Elephas maximus indicus: one gene and its partner. The protein of the gene in region 2 purifies or fractionates together with the protein of the main gene of each other region. This does not show direct contact. Links are inferred from orthologs where the notes say so. Each region holds a gene or a part of one and is shown on either strand. Other genes may lie near its edges.

Region 1 (10,336 bases), on a different chromosome or scaffold from region 2:
ATTCCCAGGCTCGAGCCAGGCTTTTTTGGATCAGAATTTCAGGAATTTTGCACTTTGAACCAGTTCCCTTGGGGATTCTGATAAGGTCTAAACTTAAGAGTTTAAAAAGCCTGAGAAACACTGTAAGGTTTGGAATTACAAGAAGTTTAACAGCCAGAGGAGAGATGATTAACAAGTTAGTTCAACAGCTTTATCACAACCATTATCTGTTTAAAGGGTGGGGCCAGGCATTAACGACCACCAATTACTGACCTCACTGCTGGGCCACTTCCTCCCCAATTCCTACTACGCATTCACCCCCAAGGGCCAATCAGACCTGTCCTGGCACAGGTTGGCCACACAGCTTTTATCTTCCAGTGTAAATAGATGAAGAGGATTTAGTCACCAGATGTGAACCTGGATTGGGGCCTGGAGGGACAGGAGGTTGAACCAGGACTTCGAACCGGTTTGTCCTGGTTCTCTGAATCCCCTGCTAAGAGTTTGCACTTTCACCCCAGATATACTGAATCTGAATCTACATTTTAACAAGATCTCCAGGAGATTCTTGTGTATAATAAATTTTGAGAACCACCACGTTACTAGTGGAAACCCTGGTGGTGTAGTGGTTAAGTGCTATGGCTACTGAAGGAAGGGTTGCGGTTCAAATCCACCAGGCATTCCTTGGAAACTGTATAGGGCAGTTCTACTCCGTCCTATAGAGTCGCTGTGAATTAGAATCCACTTGACAGCAACAGGTTTGGTTTTTGTTTTGTTTTGTTTTTGCTTTACTAGTGGTTCTCAGAACTGGCCCCTAACCAGCAGCATTAGCATTGCCCAGGAACTTGCTGGAAATGCAAGTTCTCAGCAGGCGTTCCAACCAGAACAGATTGGAAGCCCTAGGCTGAACACAGAACCAAGAAAAAACTACACAGCCCAGGGCCTCTGTCATCAGATATCTACATGAAGCAGGTGTGGCCTGTTCTACCCCAATCCTGGCAGAGCTATTAGCCACCTGTCCTGACAACTGCAAACAAATTCCTGGAATGATGATCCAACCACACTGGAGGCACTGCCCAGGTTCCAGAGGCCCACTGGGAATCCTCTACAGCAGCTGTCCCTCGTCCTACATCACTGAATCTACCCACATACACACCAATTAACCAATCCACATTGTGTGTAATTCCATACATGCACAAACATGTGTTATTAGTGTCTCTCTTGGTCTCTCTCAAGTAGTAACAAACATAAAGGTTCATTTTTTTTCTCTCTCACCTCAGACATGTTTTTAAAGTCAGGTTTAACAATTTAGCCTCATTTACTGGACCATTTCCAGATCTTTCTCTCCCTTCCAAGAGTAGTGATTTTGATGAACTTGGCCAGTACCAATGACTCTCGACATGGAGTATGACTGGTGTCTCTCCTTCCACATTCACACACAGACAGAGATAAAATAATCTCTGTTTTCTAAGTGAAGTGATGTGAGAAATAAATATGCCCAGTAAGACGCGTTACCTATACTAAAAAGATATGATTTATTGAGGACACTTCAACAAACCACTCTTGCTGCGAGGAAGAAGGAGGATCATCCACCTGAATGGGCATTACCATTGAAGCCCTTCTGCCTCTGGGAAGCTTCAAGTCACTTTGGCACAAATAAGCTCCTCCCTCTGGCCTCCTACAGTGCTCACTACCTACGCTACTTGTCTGCTGCTAGTGTATTATCCACCATGTATTACTGTAAACTTGTTATTTCTTATCGTCTTTTCTCCTCAACTTGACTTGCAAATTCCCAGAAGACAGCAATCACCTCTTAAACTTCTGACTTGTTTCCCACAGAGCCTTGCTTAAGAAATGTCATTTTTATTTATGCCTGTCTGTGTAGGAATGCGGAAGGACAGGCACCAATAACACTACGTCAAGAGCTATCAGTTCTTGGCAATTCAGCCAAAATCTGTTCATCTTAAAAGGAAGTGTCTTTCACATTTGGTTGGTCAAGCACCAAATGGCTAGTGCTCCATTTCAGACACTAAAAATACCAGTGACATTAAATTTGGAAAAATAAATAAATAATTTCAGTTAAGTCACTCTGGCTTCAGGGGATGGATCTGGGGAGGATAAGCTGGAGTTATGCATGTATTCCAATAGGCAAGAGATGATGAGAATTTGAGAAATACTTAGGAGACAAGAATGGAAGATGTAACGATTGATTGGATATTGGGGGATGGTAGGAATCTATGCTGACCCTTAGGTTTTTGGTTTGGGTGATTGAGCAGGCAGCAACTGAGACAGAAGCTACCAGGAGAAGCCCATCTGGAAGTAGGCCTGAGAGATAAGTCTCTTCCACTTAGTTTAATACACAAATACTTTAGCAACTTATTGACAAAATACCTAAAGTGATTAGTGCAAAAAGCTCACCCAGGGCTTTAAGAAAAAGGAATCCTGGAAGAAGACTACTGTTTATGCTGCCATTTATCTGTGAAACTAAGCTGGCTGGCTACTTCATGCCTTTCTTCAGGCAGATTCCCTTCTACAGAAAAGAGCAGAAAGGTATTGTCTCGGGTTAAGATTTTCAAGTCAATTATACACCAGATACCCAGAAAGATTCCTATAGACTTCAAAGACAATTACTTCCTCTATTCCTTCAAAAAATAACTTCAGAGCTGTTGTTAGGTGCTGTAGAGTTAGTTCTGACTCATAGTGACCCTATGTACAACAGAATGAAACACTGCTGGCTCCTGAGCCAGCCTCAAAATAGTTGCTGTGTTTGAACCCATTGTTGCAGCCACTGTTTCAATCCAATTTAAGAATTAGGCAACTTAACATAGGAAACCATCCTAAAGATCCCTGAACAAAGGCTGATGGACAAAACAGTGCAAACCATCCACCCCCTTATGTGACTGCCAGTTTTACCTGCATACCTTACCTGGAAAGTTCTCTCGATTTAGCTTGGGTCTGCGAACAATCACAAAGTCCTTGTCATTCCCCTTGCTTTTCAGCCGCTTTCGCGGGGGGCTCTGCGGGTGACTAAGGCTGGAGAGCAGTTCCTGGGGGATATTTTCACTGTCCACCTCCTCCTTCTCCAGGGCAGAGACTCCCATGCCTGAGAGCAGTTCTGAAGTCTTGCTAGAATCCCATCCCCACGTGAAACTGGTGGTAACGTTGCTACTTTGGTCCGGAATCTCCTGGAGGTGTTTCCTGCAGAAATGCACAACACTCCCTTTCTTTTCAAGAATAAAGCCAAAACCAAACCCATCCCCCGTCCAGCCTTTCGATTCATAGTCACCCTATAGGGCAGAGTAGAACTGCCCCACTGAGTTTCCAAGGCTGTAATCTTCAGGGAAGCAGACTTCCACATCTTTCTCTTTCGAAGCGGCTGGTGGGTTCGAAATGCAGACCTTTTGGTTAGCAGCCGAGCGCTTAACCATTTGAGCCACGAGGGCTCCAAGGTAGGCACAAAAGAAGCTGCAGTTTATGCGCTGTAGAAAACTTGAAACTTCCGCAGCAGTTAATAAAATTGCATTTGTAAGTGCCAGTGGCGAAATCCCAAGAAAAAAAAATAACCGAACAAATGGGAAAGGCTTTTGATTTACGATCACGCAGGCAGGCCTCAAGAATTTCTTACGGTGGAGGGAACAAGGAGGGAGGGAGGGCAGCCATCCAGTGATTTTGAAAACCCTGCAGGAAAGCCCTATAAGGGAAGCCAAATAAAACGTCTCGCTAATCACCTCACTAAAACATTTATCCACACTTTCCCAAAGAATGGGCTAAGCAACCATTCGCATAATCACAGCATTAGTAACAACAACAGCAAGTAGCAGTATTCACGGCCTAAAAGAATTAAGACGGTCCATGCACGCTCTGCCCCTTTTTGCAATCGGTTTACCTGTGCATGGCGTCCACCGATTCACAGGAGTTTTAAATACGTGCATTAATTGCGGAGCTGCTGCTTCGGGATTCCGGCTTTGGCGCGCGGCAGCTCCGAGCGCTCAGCGCTGGCCCCCAACAGTGAGACCCGCGAACTCTAGTAACGTTCCATCCCCGCCGCGCGCACAGGGCTCTTCTGCCCGCTCTCCTCTGCGGCAGAGGTCTGAGGCCCAGCTGCCTGCTGGGAATTGTAGTTCCTATGCTGTCCAGGAGTCAGGCTGGCTCGCCCTCTACTTCCTGAATCCTTCCCTTGAAGCTTCGCAGGCCTTTGAGATACCCACAACCCCCCGCGGCCCACAGGGGCGGGCAGGGAAGCGGAAGTGGGCGGTGCTCCGGCTGACTGGGAATGTCAGCTGCTTGAGTGAGAAAGGGTTTTCCTTTCCCGGGAACCTGCAGGCCTTCTGCTGACTGCTTCCGCCGTCATTTCAGAGCGGGGGTCCCAGAACCTGGACGGCTGTGGTCGACGCGGAGTTTCTTGGTCCCGTCCAGATTCTGTCTGGTGAGATCAGACGGTGAGCTTGAGGGAGGGGATGAGACACTTTGGGGTCTGGGGTCTGAGGTCCGGGGCGGAGCAGAGGAGGACACGGAGGGAACCCCGGAGATCCCGAACGGCTGCCGCCGCGGGGCCTGCGTCCCCGGCCACTGCATGGAGCCAGTAGCCCGGCCCGTCACCCAGGTGGGCGTCACACCTGCTCTGCCCTCTGCCAGGAAGCTCTTCCTGCACCGGGGAGAGGCGGCCCTTGGGCCCTTCAGGAAATGATTTCAGAATTAGACTGGGTCTGTGGGCAGGATCCTTTCCTTACCTGTGAAATAGGCACTACGACAACAACGCTCTTGTTACAGGCGTTGAATGAGGATCGAATCAGATAACGGTTGTGGAAGCGTTTTCTAAACTACAGCGCAGTTGGAATGAGAGAGGATGGTTGAATTTTAGGGGAACAAGAGACCACCTTGGTTCCTGTGTGCGGTGGGAAGGGTGCGCATCCCCTTGCAGCCTTGACAAATCTCCTAAATGCTAGTATGGGAATAAATATGGTTACTGTACTCGACGGCACTGGGTGGGTTGTGTATCTGCAAAGGGCTTTACCAGGGCTAAGCTCTGAGCCACCAGCAAAGCCATTCGGTTGCTCTCGGCCAACCGGCTGCATCCATTTGCGTCGCCACCTAGAACTGCTTTAGCCTATCTCTGCGGGAAACAGTTTGGGGGCGTTAGAGTAGGGAGTGTACCATATTCCAGGTAGGATGACCGTGCGAAATCCATTGTGCATTGCAAACTACTACAACGATGGCCCCGGGAAAACAGTGGAAGAGAGAAGAGGGATGAATTCCAACCGTAATAAAAATAATGAGGGTTTATAAAGTTTTTTTATAAAGTTTAGAATTATGCAGGGCAGTTTCATCCCCAAAGAATTAGTTCAGTGGGGAGAAAGAGTGGCTGTCTGTTCCCATAAAGATTACAGCCTTGGAAGCCCTATGGGGCAGTTTTACTCTGACCTATAGCTTTGAAGAGTCAGAATCCACTCGATGACAGTGGTTTTATGCTGTATGACATACCTTCATACTACTTTGAAAAAAATGATTAGATTCTTGAAAAGTAACCACTTCTTGACAGGAAGGAATTCATGAACCTTTATTTTGTTCTCGAAAGTAGGTGAGATTTCTATTAAGAGGGGATCTGTTCACAAATTGATTTTGATCAACACTAGGTGAAGAATACTAGGCTTAGTGTGCACAGTTCATTAAACTACTGTTAGATGATAATTTTTTTAAATGCAGTATTCCTGGTTTTTTGCACGGTAGTTACCTATCTTTACTTTGGCTAAGGAGAAAGCAGTTGCCTTCATTTGAGATATACATACTTTCCCTTAAGCTTGCAACTCATTACAGAAAATATTTCTAACAAAAAAAGTTATAGTCTCCAGGAAAGTGAACAAGACAGAGGGAACTGGTAACCTTGTGGGGAGAAAGGATAAAAAAATATTTAAAATGCCGTGGTGAGCACTGTCTTAGTTACTAGGGCTGCTGTAACAGAAGAACCGCAAGTGCATGGCTTTAAAGAACAGAAATTTATTTTCTCACAATTTAGGAGTCTAGAAATCTGAATTCAGGCACCAGCTATAACGGAAGGCTCTCTCTTTGTCAGCTGTAGGGGAAGATCCTTGTCTTTTTCAGTTTCTGTAGCCCTACCTGTTCCTTGGTCCCTTGACAATCTTCACATGGCACCTCTCTTCCCGTTTGTTTTTGCATGTCTTTATCTACCATTTTTTATAACTCTGGTAATGGGTATGGCTCAGTAACATAACATTAGATTGCATACAAAGGTGATTGCAGTACATTACATTACATCTACAGGTACAGGGGTTAGGATTCCACCACGTATTTTGGGGGGACACAATCCATAGCAAGCGTAACAAAGTTTTGAGATATAAAGTAATTGGAATAGGCCACTTTAGATACAAATCTCATAGATAAGAAGGTCTAGTAGATGGGAAGATACTAAATTTAAGGATAAGAAATATTCTTGTTCTGTCTGCTGTTTAGGGAGCATTTCTAGTTCTTAGAATACTGGCAGTATCTGAATTAATGGACATAAGGTCCATTAATTGGTAGGTAGCTAGTAATTGCAAGTCTTCAGCTGAAGGTCCAAGTCCTCTGCTACTGGAGTAGATATTTCACTAACAGTGTTTGCCCTGGTAAGAGAAATACTTCAGCTTGCTAATATGGAACTTTTTTTCTCATTCCTTCCATTCATGGCTGTAAATAAAAGTTTAAATAGATACATGTGATACTGTTTGATATAAGGAATTGTGTCCATTGAAGACTTGCAGTTACTGGCTACGTACAGACGTCTTGTTATTTGTTCTCTTAATTGCACTGTGATTGCTACTGATGTGGAATATTTTATTTTCCTGATTAATTTTGTTAGTTTAACCTTAGCACATCCCATTTCCCACTTTGGGGTACACCATATTTCCAGAACTAAAATCCCTTCCCTATGTTAGTATCCAGGACAAATGAATTACAGTCTCTTTTAACGTCTGCAAATGACTTAGGGCCCGTCATTTCTAGTACCCTTTGGAAGCTTCAGATAGACTCCAAAGTGACTGTGTAAACTGGGGAAGTGTTTATCACCGAGAGATGCTCAGAATGGGCAAGGGTGGTATTATCTGTTTAGAGGTAAAATTATAGGAGGGACCAAAAAGGACTGGAAATCATAAATGATTATAAGCTATTTATTACATGTGTGTGTATGTATACACATATATATGTATATATATCTTATAAGCATTGTTGTTAGGTGCCATGAGTCGGTTCTGACTCATAGTGATGCTATGTACAACAGAACGAAATACTGCCCAGGCCTGCAACATCTTCTCAATTGTTGCTCTGCTTGAGCCTATTTTTGCAGCCTCTGTCAAGACATCTCACTGAGGGTCTTCCTCTTTTTTGAGAACCCTCTGGTGGTATTTGAAATACCACTGGCATAGCTTCCAGCATCACAGCAACACGTAAGCCACCACAGTGCTACGAACCGACAGATGAGTGGTGGCTTATAGTCATAAATATAGTCATAGGTGTGTGTGTGTACATATATAAGTATATGTTATTTTCGAAAACCAAATATGACAAAAGAGATTCTATTTAATGAGAATGGTGATGAATTTTTTCCTTAGCTCCTTCACACCCACCAAACCCACTGCTGTCAAGTCGATTCCAACTGATAGAGATCCTATAAGACACAGTAGAACTGCCCCATAAGATTTCCAAGGCTGTAAATCTTTACAGAAGCAGACTGCCCCATCTTTCTCCTGCAGAGCGGCTGGTGGGTTCGAGCCACCGACCCTTTGGTTAGCAGCCAAGTGCTTTAGCCACTGCGTCACCAGGGCTCCTAGTTCCTTCATAGTATGAAATAAATTGTAAAATTCTTGAGTTTTTTTTCTCACATCATTTAGCTCGGGAACAAGAGCCTGAGAACAATTATGTGGCAAGAAGTTTGTATCTGCTAATAAAATTTGAGAAAGGATCTTTTTTCCTTGATTAATTCTACAGTAAATCTTTTGTTCTCTGCAGTTAAATGCTGTCAGTGATGGGCAGATGGTGGAAAGGTTCTGGCCCTGATTCTAATTTGCTCTATGTTTTCTTTTCTACTTTTCCCATACAGATTAGAATCACATATTACCCTTAAGTCAACTAATGGCAGTATTACTCTGAGGTAAAGAGGCTTAGCTAAGTTCTACATTGAACATTTTCTTCTTATACTGTGAACTATGTCTTGATAGGGATGATCAATAGGGGAATTTCTGATTGTTCACTATGGAGACTGAACAGAAGAAATTTATTTAAACAATTTAAATTGCATTAAGAAACTATGTCTGGACTGGAGAAGAGAAGATGTAGCTTTCTAACTGTGAGCCAGACTCTAGTTAGGATGCCTCAGTTTGAATCCCAGCTTTGCCATTTTAAAAAAAAAAAAAAAAAAATTTTTTTTTTTTTTTTTGTGGGAACTTGGGGAAACCCTGGTGGTGCAGTGGTTAAGTGCTACAGCTGCTAACCAAGAGGTCAGCAGTTCAAATCTGCCAGGCGCTCCTTGGAAACTCTGTGGGGCAGTTCTACTCTGTCCTATAGGGTCACTATGGGTCGGAATCAACTCGACGGCAGTGGGTTTGGGTTTGGTTTTGGTGGGAACTTGGATAAATTCCTTATCCTGTTTGTGCCCAATTTTCTCCTTTATTAAACAAGAATACTAACAGTCTTCTCTTTAGTATGATAAAGCTTGTTAAGTAGGAGCACAATATTTAGTAAGTGCACACTAAATGTTAGCTATTCTTTTTTAAAATTATTTTGTTATTAAGAGAAAGTGTAAGGATTATTTTCTAATTACCAAAACAAGTCTTGCATTATCTACCTGAGATCTTTAAGAATTCATTAAAATTTTACTTGCTTTCTTCTGACCTCTGTACATGGTTGCAACCCCTTCCCTTCATGCCTTGCCAAAGACAGAACAGTTTGTGTGTGTCCTTCTCCTAAACACTTGTCACACTTTGGAATTCGGTTCGACTAGTTGTTTTGCCACCTCAGCCTTTAGATGGGCTTCGAAACATATTACTTTCTCCCATTTTTAGACTGAGAGTGATGTTCTCTTATAATATTCTACATTCTAAAGTAAATTCTATCTACACGTGAAATCTTTCAGCAGGGAATGATGATTTCCTTGAGAAAATTTAAATTTTTATTGGTGGGAGACAATTGTTGACTTTTCTCACTTCTAGTTCTGATTCTTTTGATTTTTCATTATTATGATCTTGAGTTATCTCCTCATTTTTATTATTTTATATATCTGAGTAAAGGTACATATTGCAGTTGACACTCTCCGAGTCTGATGAATCATTAGGTTCTAGTTGAAATTTTTCATTCAGTTTCAGAATCTTTAGTTTTGGCAAAATTTTTGTCAGTTTTTTGTTTATGTTCTGATCCATTGCATTCCTCCTTCCTTTCCTCCCATTCCTTCCTTTCTCTCGCTTTTTCTCCTTTTTTTGTAAATATTTGGAATGCTTCAAATTTCAAAATTATCTTAACTTCTAAATTTTCCACTCAGAGTGTGTTTAGCCTAAAGAAACAATGCTAGAGTCATAAAGGACTCAGGAAACAGTATTCTAAGTTAGTAACATTAGTAATTCAATTATGAAACTATTGTAAAGACACCTGAAAGTAGTGTTGAATAATGTCTTGATTAGAAAAAGACTGAATTAGATTTTTAATGTTTAAGACTATTTCAGAGCTAGTATATTGAAAGGTTGAATATGACATCAAAGCAGGCACAAATTTTGAATGGATGAATGAATTAGCATTTTGATTTTGAGTAAAATCAACCCTTGTTTCTGTGGTGTTAATATCAACCTTATGATCTTTTTTTTTTTTTTTTTAATCATATGTAACTGAATTTTGATTTGCCTCAATTTTAGGAATTTCTTTTTTGTCATTTAGCCTAAACATGTAATTTTAATATTTAAATAATATTATAGAAGGACCAATGTCGTTGTCAGAGGCATAGTTCCAATTTTGCTCTTGAGTATGTTTTTTAAAACCGCACGTGGTTACAGTTCAAATGATATAGACTAGTCTGCCTTTTTGATCATCGTTCCAGGAAAAATGACATTGTCTTTCTATAGGACATTAGTGTGTCAAGTGTATCTTCTGGACATGACTCTGATGTGTGTTTTGTCTCTGTCACAACAAACAGATGAAAGGACGTTTTAGCTACCTTGCAGACCTAGAGAGGTAATCCCAACTTGTTGAGAGAGGCACAGGGATCAACTTTGGGAGCCAGGCTGATTTCTTGTTTTATAGGACAGAAAGTAGGCCCAGGCTGTGGTGCCCATTGAGCATGAAAAGCAGAACACAGTTGATTTTCATTCGTAGTTGTTTTTTTGGG
Region 2 (10,551 bases):
CGTCAGGTAGCAACGCAGCCTGGTCCTGTGCTACCCCTGATCAGACCGTTGTGATCCACAGGGTTTTCACTGACTGATTTCTGGAAGTAGATCACGAGGCCTTTCTTCCTACTCTCTTAATCTGGGAGCTCTGCTGAAAACTGTTCGGCATCATAGCAACACTCAAGTCTCCAAGGACAGATGGTGGCTGTGCATGAGGTACACTGGCTGAGAACTGAACCTGGGTCTCCTGCACAGAAGGTGAGAATTCTACCCCTGAGCTCCAACTCATGGCGACCCCATGCACAACAGGACCGGACCCTTGTGGTCCATGGGTTTTCACTGGCTGCTTTTCAGAAGTAGATCTCCAGGCCTTTCTTCCTACTCTCTTAGTCTGGAAGGCCCACGGAAGCCTGTTCAGCATCAGAGCAACACACAAGCCTCTGCTGACAGACGGGTGTGGCTCCACTTGAAGTGCACTGGCCGGGAACAGAACCCGGGTCTCCCTCGTGGGAGGCTGTACCCCTGAGCCACCACGGCCTTCCCACACCCACCAAATGGCGTCTAACCCAGAAGACTTCAAGAGATCATTAGGGAGTGAATTCAAATTCAGGGGGCCAAAGACATGGCCCTGAGGCACCCTAGCCTTTAGAGACTGGGGAAATAAGGAGGAACTGGGAGACTAAGGAGGAGCCCTGATGGTTCAACAGTTCAGCGCTTGACTATTCACCCACCTAGTGGCGCCATGGGAGAAAGACCTGGCGATCTGCTCCCATAAAGACGGTGCAGCTCTCCTGCGTCCTACAGGTCACTATGAGTCGGAACCGACTCACGGCAACGGGTTTGTTTGAACATGGGATGAAATTGACAAGAGCAACTCAAAGGATTAGACAGGAAGCTTAGGGGGCAGTGAGTTTATGTTAATGGGGGAGGAGCAATTAGGGAAAGGGGGGTGAGAATGATCGCACAACCTGAAGAATGCAATCGAGGTCACTGAATTATACATGTGGAAACTGTTGGTGTATCTTCTGCTTTGTATATTTTCAACAACAAAAAAAATTATTTTTAAAAAAGACAGAAGGTATAAATTTCTAAGAAATCTAAATAAATTTCTAAGAAAGCTGTGGAGGAATGGAGTACACATAAGGGGTTGTTGTTGTTAGGTGCCATCAAGTCGGTTCCGACTCATAGCGACCCTATGCACAACAGAACGAAACACTGCCCGGTCCCGCGCCATCCTTACAATTGTTGTTATGCTTGAGCGCATTCATAAGGGGTTAAAAAAAACCGTGAAGGGTTATGAATTTAATGTGATACCAGTCAGCACAGGAATCGCTGCCGACTCCTGAGTTTAAAGCAGTCAATCTTGCTACATAAACTGTTACAGCCACTTTCGTTTTCTCCAAAAGTTTTGACCAGGTCACTCTGGCTATACCCTCTCCTCTCTCCCCCCAAATACCCCCAGAAAGCAGGCGGCTGCGCGAGTCAGTAGGCAGACTTCAGACTAGCCTCTGCCAAAACTTCTTTTTGTTTGTTTTGGCCTTTCTTAAACCTCTCAAGTTTTCTCATCTATAAAATGGGATTGACACAATGGCCAAAACAATGAATTCAAACATAGCAACAATGATCATGAAGGTGGCGCAGGACTGGGAGACACTTTGATGTTATACATCAGGTCACTGTGAGTCAGAGCTGACTGAACAGCAACTAACAACAAACAAAACAAAACACGGGTACCCTGCCGCACTTACTTCACTGGCCCATTTTGAGCCTCGGTCCTTTAAAGACAGGCAATGCAGGTTTAAGGCATCACCATGAAAGGGTGCATCTCATAGCAAGCTTGGGAAAGCTTTCCATCTCAAAATCCTTCCTAAGGATCCAAACTCCACATTTGCGTTTAAGCGTCTGAATCTGTCTTCAGTCGGTTAAGGGAAGCACCTCTGACCAACTGAGCACATACAGCTTCTCTCAGAGGGCCCAGTACCTGTCTGCCCAGTGTTGGGGAGATGCCTGCTTTCCAAGCACCCTTTCTGAATTGATCTAGTCAAGCCGGATTCCATCCTGATTCCAGAGCTTCTAACAAGTTTCCAGGAAGTTATACGTAAGAATCGCCTGGGGACCTAGTTAAAATGGAGATTGTGATTCAGTATATCTGGGGTGAAAATGCAAATTCTCAGCAGGAGTTCGAACCAGAATGAGACAGTTTGAAGGGCTGTCTGACTCTAACACTATCCGGGTAAACATAACAAAGGCTGTCTGGGATCACTCAAGCCTTTCTTACATCAGTCTGACTACCACTCAGACCTTGGTTAAACTCAACTGTTAAGCTAAGCTGCTATCCCTAAAGGTTGGTGGTTCAAATCTACCCAGTGGCTCCTTGGGAGAAGCACCTGATGATCCGCTCCTATAAAGATTACAGCCTAGAGAACCCTATGGGGAAGTTCTGCCCTGTCACATGGGTCACTATGAGTCGAAATCCACTTGATGACACCCAACAACAACATGGGGCATTTGTGTTTCCTTTTAGCCTGTTGTTGGGTGCCATTGAGTCAATTTTGATCCGTAACGACCCTATAGGACAGTATGGAACTGCCCCATAGGATTCTCCAGGTGGTAATCTTTACCAGAGCAGACCACCAGATGGCCAGGTCTTTCTCCCACATAGCTGATGGGTGGGTTCTAACCTCCGACCTATCCTTTAGCAGCAGAGCTCTTAACCATTGCACCACCAAGCTCCTACTTTTAGCCTAGCACCCAAATAAGTTTACATATACTTAATCCAAACAGTTTCTGAATTTATTTTCTTGATATTGGGAAAAATAACAACGAAAATTATTCAATTTCTATCGGAAAAGGGGATCTATCAAGATGCTCTTAAAAAATCCAGGTTCCAGTGTTGGAACCCTCAAGGGCAGTTTGTGGGTAAAACGGCAACCGTAAAGCTCCCCCTACATAGTAGGAGAGGAGACCCCAACAAGTGGCGCTCCGGGCCTCCGAGTCCTCCTTACCTGGCCGCAGGCCCTCCTGTACTGCCCATTCTCGGTAAGCACCCCCAGCACGGTCCTCTGGGGGGGTTCCTGGCCCAGCTGGGCTCTGCCGATCATCTGACAGGCATCATGGACCCCAGCCGCAGGGGCCAGGACAACGCCGCTCTTAGAGCTGCTTCGCCGCATGGCCTCGGTCTCCACCTGCTGCTGCGATGGGGAGCGAGGGACAGACAAGCAGGTTAGCCAAGCCCTCCGCCCTGGGCTCCCCGGGTGCTGCACCAGAACACGGTTTTCCCAGACACTATATTGTAATCTGTTCCCCTAAAGATCACAGCCTAGAAAACCCTTGAGGCACTTCTGCTCTGCCCTATAGGGTCGCTATGAGGTGGAATCCACTCGACGGCACCCGACAATATTAGGGCTGAAAAGGAGCGAGTGACTGCGCAAGGGACCAAAACGATGACTTCAATTCTGTGGTTTTCTTGCCAGTCTCCGTTGAGGACTGGAAGGAGAGCGACAAACCTTCAAGCCAGGATGCTAGGCTCCAACGGATTGGGGGTCTAAACCTACAAGCCCACGGTCTGTCCCCGCTCGGATGCTCTTCTCCCCCGCCCCAGACAAAAGACCCAGGACACCTGAGCGGGAAGGTGTTGTCTCCTCCCGCGGCCCCTCCCAGCACACAGAGGCCCCGCACCTGCTTGGAACCCAGGGGCCCGCTCCGCTCGGCGCTGGCTCTCTCGCACACCTGCCGAGCGCACCGAGGCCGGGCGGAGGCGGCGGGCGCCCAGGGGGTCATCGACCCGGCACCCGGCGGGCACTGGGCGCCCAGCCTCGCGTCTGTTGGGGCGGCCAATGGGCGGCGTCCCGGGCCTTGCGCGGCCGCTTCCATGCCAACCGCAGCGGCACGCGCCCGGGCCGCGTCGCCATGGCGACCCCTCACCTGGCGACCCTCTCACCTGGCGCCTCCCGGAGGCCCTGCCGCTGCGGGGCAGTCAGGACCCAGCGGCCCCCGGCCTCCTGCGTCGCCCCGCTTCCCTCCTAGCCGGCGCCCTGGCCGGGGAGGGAGGCAGGCTGCCCCCCGCGACCACCGGGCCGAAGGGACCGCTTCCGAGAGCCGGTTCCCCTAACAGCCGCTAACCCCCCGCTAACGTCTGTGCGCGGCCCGCCCCCGAGAACCCCACGGCCGGCCCGAGAGTCGGGGTGCGCGCTGGCTCGCTCCGCTCACACACCTGCGCGTCCTCCGGAGTGGCCGGCCCGAGTCCGCGGAGGCACCTGCGGGCATCGGGGGGGTCTGCGCCCCAGAGGCAAGCCCCGAGCCCGGAGCATGGGGCCCGGCGGACGGCGGAGCTGTGGGATTGGGAGCGCACGCAGGGCCCGAGGCCCCTGAGAGGGCTTCCCAGGAGGACAGCGGTGCGGGGACACCCAGAGAGCGACCCGGGAAGAGGAAGGATCACGGGAGCAATAAGAGGCCTGGGACGTTGAGGGGACACTGGGAGGTCCGGGACTGGGGGCTGGGCAGTGGCCTGGCCACGAGGGAGGACAGTCCCTGGACCTGGAGGTCACTGGCCAGGAGGGAAGGATGGGGTCAGGATGGGGTGGGGACGGGCGTTGGCCAATTGGGAAGGGAGGACAAGGTCAGTGAATCCTGGGCACCAGAGGCGGTGACTGACAGGTCAAGTAAAAAAGTCTGTAACTTTCTTATTTTAAAAAAAAATCATGGCAAACTCCATGTTTGCGGTGGAGTTGATTCCAACTCATAGCAACCCGATGTGATACAGTAGAACTGCTCCACAGGGTTTCTTAGGCCGCGATGTTTATCTGTTACTCAGGTTTTAAGAGCAAGAGTGTTTTGTTGTTAAAATGCAAAACCTGGAAGGAAAAAAAAAAAAAAAACAAACTTGTTGCCATTCAGTGGTTTCCAATTCGTACTGACCCCATAGGTCAGAAGAATTCCCTTATTGGGTTTCCAAAGTTGTAATCTTTACAGAAGCAGATTGCTGCATCTTTCTTCCTTGGAGTGGCTGGTGGGTTTGAACCCACGACCTCTAGGTTAGCAGCAGAGCACTTAACCACTGTGCCACCAAACCAAACCAAACCCGTTGCCATCAAGTCTTTTCCAACTCATAGTGACCGTACAGAACAGAGTAGAACTGCATCCTAGGGTTTCCGAGGAGAGGCTGGTGGATTTGAACTGCTAACCTTTTGGTTAGCAGCCTGAGCTTTTAACCACTGCACCACCAAGGCTTTTAAATATACAAAACACCAGTTCCTAAATCTCTAAAGCTTTCCCAAGAGCCATCCAAATGGTCAAGGACCTGTTGGTTATTGCAGTCTTCCTTATTTTGAAAGGAAATGATTGTTAATCTCACCCCAAAACATATCTAAGTGCCCTTTTTTTCCCTCAGTGAGCTGGGTGTGCATTGTTTTAACGGGAAAATACAAGTATTCTACAGAAAGAGTGGATGAAACCCATGTGGGTGAGTCAGATGTGAGGGGAAGTTGGAAAGCATCTCAGGAAGCACCGAAAATGGCCTTGTTGAATGTGAAATTAATCTTGCTGTGCTTACCAAGGAGCCCGGTGGCACAGTGGTTAAGAGCTCAGCTGCTAACCAAAAGGTCAGCTGCTTGAAGGCACCAGGCACTCCTTGGAAACTCTGTGGGGCAGTTCTACCCTGTCCTATAGGGTCACTATGACCTGGAATCGACTTGATGGCAATGGGTTTGGTTTGGGTTTGGGATGCTTACCAAGGAGCCCTGGTGGCACAGTGGTTAAAGCACTCAGCTGCTAACCATAAGGTGGGCAGTTGGAACCCACCAGCCCCTCTGCTTGGAGGAAGAGGGGGAATGTATTATTCAGTATGCTCCTCCTTTGAGCCCTGGTGGTGCAGTGGTTAAGTGCTCGGTTGCTAACCAAAAGCTAAGTGTTTCAAACCCACCAGCCGCTCTGTGGGAGAAACATGAGGCAGTTTGCTTCCATAAAAATCTACAGCCTCAGAAACCCTATAGAATAGTTCTACTCTGTCCTATAAGGTCACTATGAGTCTGTGGGTTTGCTTACCATGGGCTCTCGTTGGCAGGAAACAGTAACCCTTTGCACCTCTGAATTTTTGTGCCTTCGACTAGGATGCTGAGGGGACCTGAAGGCTCGGCTTTGCAAGGGGTTCTATCTGGTGGAAAATGGGAATATTTCTGTCCTGTCACCTCTCTCTGCTTTTGGACATCTTCCCAGAAGCCCTCCCCCACATGGCAACACTGTTGTGATTTCTGGGGACGGATGCTGAGGCCTCGGTAGTTAACTCCCTAGGGTCCTGGGAGCAATTTGTTCCAAAGACCGGGGTCACCTTGCCAGAAACAAGATTTGCTCTGTTTCATGCGCCCTGACCTGTGACATCCCTTTTGATCTGATTTCCTGGGACAAAAATCGCCTAAAACTCACCACTTTTGCCTTTCCTCTAAACAAAGAAGCCAGCACGGTGTTTGTTCCGGGAGCCTCATTTGGATTCTATTTTCTGGGGCCGGAGCTCCAGCGGCTGGGGGGAGAGGGGCACCAGGCTTCTGTGGAGGGAGCTCTGGGGGGTCAGAGCTCCAGCAAGAGGGGAGCACCAGGCTTCTGTGGAGGCAGCTTTTTGAAGCTGGGTGTTCCCCACTCCAACCATGGCCAGGACCAGAAAGGGGAGGCCACAAAGTCGTCCTCCAGAGCCTCTAGCCTGAAAAATGCCTTCAAAAAAGTAAAATACCTGCTAACCAGGTGGGACCCTCTAGTTAGTTCATACCCTCTCATTTCAATAGCTGCATCCTAATCCAGTTGTTTTGGGGTGACATTGAGTCAGTTTCGACTCATATGGACCCCATATGACAGAGTAGAACTGCCCCATAGGGGTTTCTAGGCTGTAATCTTTTCCATGCTAGGAGCCCTGGTTGCACAGTGGTTAAAGCACTCGGCTGCTAACCAAAAGGTCGGCAGTTGGAACCCACCAGCTGCTCTGCAGGAGAAAGATGTGGTGGTCTGCTCCCGTAAAGATTGCAGCCTTGAAAACCCTATGCAGCAGTTCTACTCTGTCACTTGGGGTCACTGTGAGTTGGAATCGACTTGAAAACCAGTGCAGAAGGGAGAAAATAGCGCCACCTGGAGATGGCCAAGGAAAGCCCAGAGGAAACCCGAGAAGCTGAGAGGAGCGTTTTCCCCAGAGCGGACAGAGAGCATTCCCCTAGGTTGACTCCCTGAATCGGGACTGTGAGAAAATACATTTCTGCTCGCTAAACCACCCACTTGTCGCATTGCTGTTAAAGCAGCACTAAGAAGCTACATCGGCTGTATCCGAAAGTCAAGCCTTAAGATCCGTAGTGTTTAGTAAAGGTGAAACTGGGGAAGCTTCTTGTCTAGGCTTCGCAGACATTGGTTGAGAAGGGTTCACACAGAAATGTAGGTAGTGCAATCGAAGCACTGAATTTTTAATTAAATGTATGTAGTCACATGTAGCTGAGGGCTATCTCATTGGTGAGCACAGGATCCTGTCAAATAACCAAATCCAGATGTTATCAGAAAGAGGCTGTAGTCCAAAAAAGGAGAAAGGGAAAGGGGCTATTACAGTAGGGGGAGGAGCCTATTGTAATATATAAGATCAGTAAAGGTCTCACAAGTTAGGAAAAAGTGTTGTTTTTTTTGTGTGTGTAGACTGAGGGTAAATCAGGCTAGAAAAAGCCCAGGTGTGGAGAAGTGGGGTGAGTAGGTGACTTTGTCAAATAGTAAATCAGAAAGGTTTAGGCCAAGGTCAGCCTATTCTCCAGGAGGCCCTTTAGAGAGAGGTGCCATGCTCAGGTTTGCCATCAGAACCTCCTGAGTTTTTTGCAGGGTAGTCACATCACAGCACACAAATAAGACCCAAAACATTCCTGTAGGCCTGGAGAATCAGGGTAGGGTAAACGTAACCCACTAATGAAAGCCCATATCTTCAGCCTTCACGCATTGACCTTGAACAGATAGTTGCTGGAGGCAGCTCAGGTCCTTCGTGGCTGGGGTCTGAGGGTGGCAACTGCAGGCAGCGTCCCTGGCGGGGCCTCAGGCAGAGTGCTAGCTTCAGAGAGGTTCAGAGATTGACAGAGTCCTCCCGCCTTAGACCAGCTCCCAGGGAAGAGCAAGACAGGTTTTTATGGTTTAGTCCCTCTATCTTGTGTAACCAAGGTCCTATCAGGGGTGCTGGCTCACACTGTGTCAGGGTAATCCCCATCTTAGCTCATAACTGGGTACGCATTCTACAAGGCCAGCAGCTACACTAAGGGCCACACCAGCTCACGGCCAAGCAGCTGCCAATAGTAAGGTAGCCGATTACAACTGGAAGTTGTGCACAACGGAGAAGTTGCATGTCGGTTTCAGGTAGCTTACAGCCTGGCTTAAGTGTTCCAGTCACACGTTCCGCGCTTCACACACATGTGACGTGGAAACCCTACATTATAAGCATGTATCACAGAGTGGCGTGTTAGCGCAGGCTGAGGAGCAGGGCAAAGTTCAGGGACTTTAGGAAGGAGAGAAGCTTCACCAAAGTCTGACGAACAATCACTTGGTTTCTGATTGACCGCTGAGGTCAAGCAGCTCAGTGACTCATTTATGAGACAAGAACCAGGAATGTGGAGAGGCTGTGGCCAGTCTTGTCCTAGGTGAACAGGGTGTCTGTGAGCCTTAGCTAAGTCACGTGGGAAGGGTGGCTCTTTGCAATGAGCCATTCTGAACGCAAAGGTGGGGGAGTTCCTTTAACCATTGCTGTTTTCCAGGATCTGTACAGTGTCCAGGTGAAAGTCAGCAGGGTCAGTAGAACAGTGGTGGTGGAGAGCAGTCACAGCATACGGTCATCTCTTCTGCTGCCGCGTCTGCAGGTGTGTATGCTCATCATGACTAGCTTCCTCCTGAGTGGCTCTCCTAACTCGCAATTAAGTGCACCAATAAATAATGACAGGAAACCGTCTATCCAGGGTGGGTTCACCATGCAATTCATAAGAAAACCTGTTTATAAATGAGCCAGAAGGAAGTTTATCTGGGAATTGTACTTTCCTTGTTAAAAAGAAATGCTCCGAGGTGTCCATCAACAGATGAATGGGTAAACAAGGTGTGGTATATATACACAATGGGGTATCATTCAGCCATGAAGAGGAGTGAAGTTCTAACCCACAATACAGCGTGGAAGAACCTTGAAAACATGATGCTGAGTGAAATAAGCCAGACATAGAGGACAAACACTGTATGATCCCACTTACATGAAGCACCTACAGCAGACAAATGAACAAAACTTATGAGTGGTTACCAGGGGCTGCAGGGAGGAGGGAACGGGGAGTTATTACAAAAGGGAGCTGAGTTTCTGGGGTGATGTAGAGCTTTTTGAAATGGATAGTGGTGAAGGAGCCACAACATGGTGAGTGTAACTGATGTCGCTGAAGTCTACATTACAAGTGGTTCAGACAGAGACCTTTTTGCTGTGTATATGTTACACAGGATGCCTATGAGTCAGAACTAACTCACCTGCACATAACAGCAACAATATATATTTCACAACAATGAGAATTTTCTGAAAAATAGAAATGCTCATTCTTTTCCAGGGTCAGACAAGAGTTCAGAGGAAGAATCAGAACAGCTGAAAGATCAAGTTAGATTCTTGTGAAATTAACTAAACTTTTATCACTTAATTTTATAGATACAATTCTTTAGTTAGAGTTGCTGAATCCTGGGTTTATATGATAGTTCATATAAAGTACAGCTTAAGCTTCGTTTCTGTTAATACTAAAGTTTTAAGTTGAATTCTATGACCAATCAAATTCAAACTCTAGTATGAAACGCTGTCGTCGTCGTTGTTGTTGTGTGTCGTTGTTATGAGTCGACTCCACTCACAGCAACCCCATGTGACGGAGTAGAACTGCCCCACAGGGTTTCCTAGGCTGTAATCTTTACAGGAGCAGGTTGCCAGGTCTTTTCTCCCACGGAGCCTCAGGATGGGTTTCAAACACCAACCTTTTGGTTAGCAACCTAGTGTAGCGCTTGTGAAACCCTCACCTCTCAGCCAGTGCTTCACCAGCACCCACGTCAGCCCTTGTTTGGGACACATTGCTTTCAAGGGACATGTTATCTGTAGGGCTGAATATTACAGGAATACAGTGAGCTGCTTACTTGCTTTCCAGAAAGTAAGATGTAAATTTACGTCGCAGTGTGCTCACAATTCTGCTGCTTGGTGTTGTTGAATGCAAGTAACTCCTACCACTGTTGCCATAATTGAGTAGGGTTACATTTTCACATATTGCATTGGGTAAATCTGCTGCAAAAGACCTCTTTAAAGTGTTAAAAAGCAAAGATGTCTATTTGATGACTAAGGTGCTCCTGACCCAGCCATGGCATTTTCAGTTACCTAAAATGTGGCACAGTGGTTAAGAGCTACAGCTGCTAATCAAAAGATCAGGAGTTCAAATCTACCAGCTGCTCCTTGGAAACCCTATGGGGCTGTTCTACTCTGTTCTATAGGGTCACTATGAGTCAGGATCGACTTGACAGCAATGAGTTTTTAACATGCTTATGAAAGCTGGACAATGAATAAGGAAGACTGAA

Evidence for each region. The genes of interacting proteins can lie anywhere in the genome.
Region 1: the proteins of CCNA1 (region 2) and SKP2 purify together in Homo sapiens (affinity purification with western blotting; 4 studies listed by BioGRID). This does not show direct contact. The link is inferred for Elephas maximus indicus from reciprocal best matches to the Homo sapiens genes CCNA1 and SKP2.

The regions. Positions count from the first base shown.
Region 1 is NC_064820.1:41,306,809-41,317,144, reverse strand, and holds the start of SKP2 (S-phase kinase-associated protein 2), read right to left. Parts: upstream 4,161-10,336; 5' UTR 3,871-4,160; coding exon 3,863-3,870; intron 3,175-3,862; coding exon 2,903-3,174; intron 1-2,902. UniProt on the Homo sapiens protein: Substrate recognition component of a SCF (SKP1-CUL1-F-box protein) E3 ubiquitin-protein ligase complex which mediates the ubiquitination and subsequent proteasomal degradation of target proteins involved in cell cycle progression, signal transduction and transcription.
Region 2 is NC_064832.1:99,587,587-99,598,137, reverse strand, and holds the start of CCNA1 (cyclin-A1), read right to left. Parts: upstream 3,802-10,551; 5' UTR 3,763-3,801; coding exon 3,661-3,762; intron 3,174-3,660; coding exon 2,988-3,173; intron 1-2,987. UniProt on the Homo sapiens protein: May be involved in the control of the cell cycle at the G1/S (start) and G2/M (mitosis) transitions. May primarily function in the control of the germline meiotic cell cycle and additionally in the control of mitotic cell cycle in some somatic cells.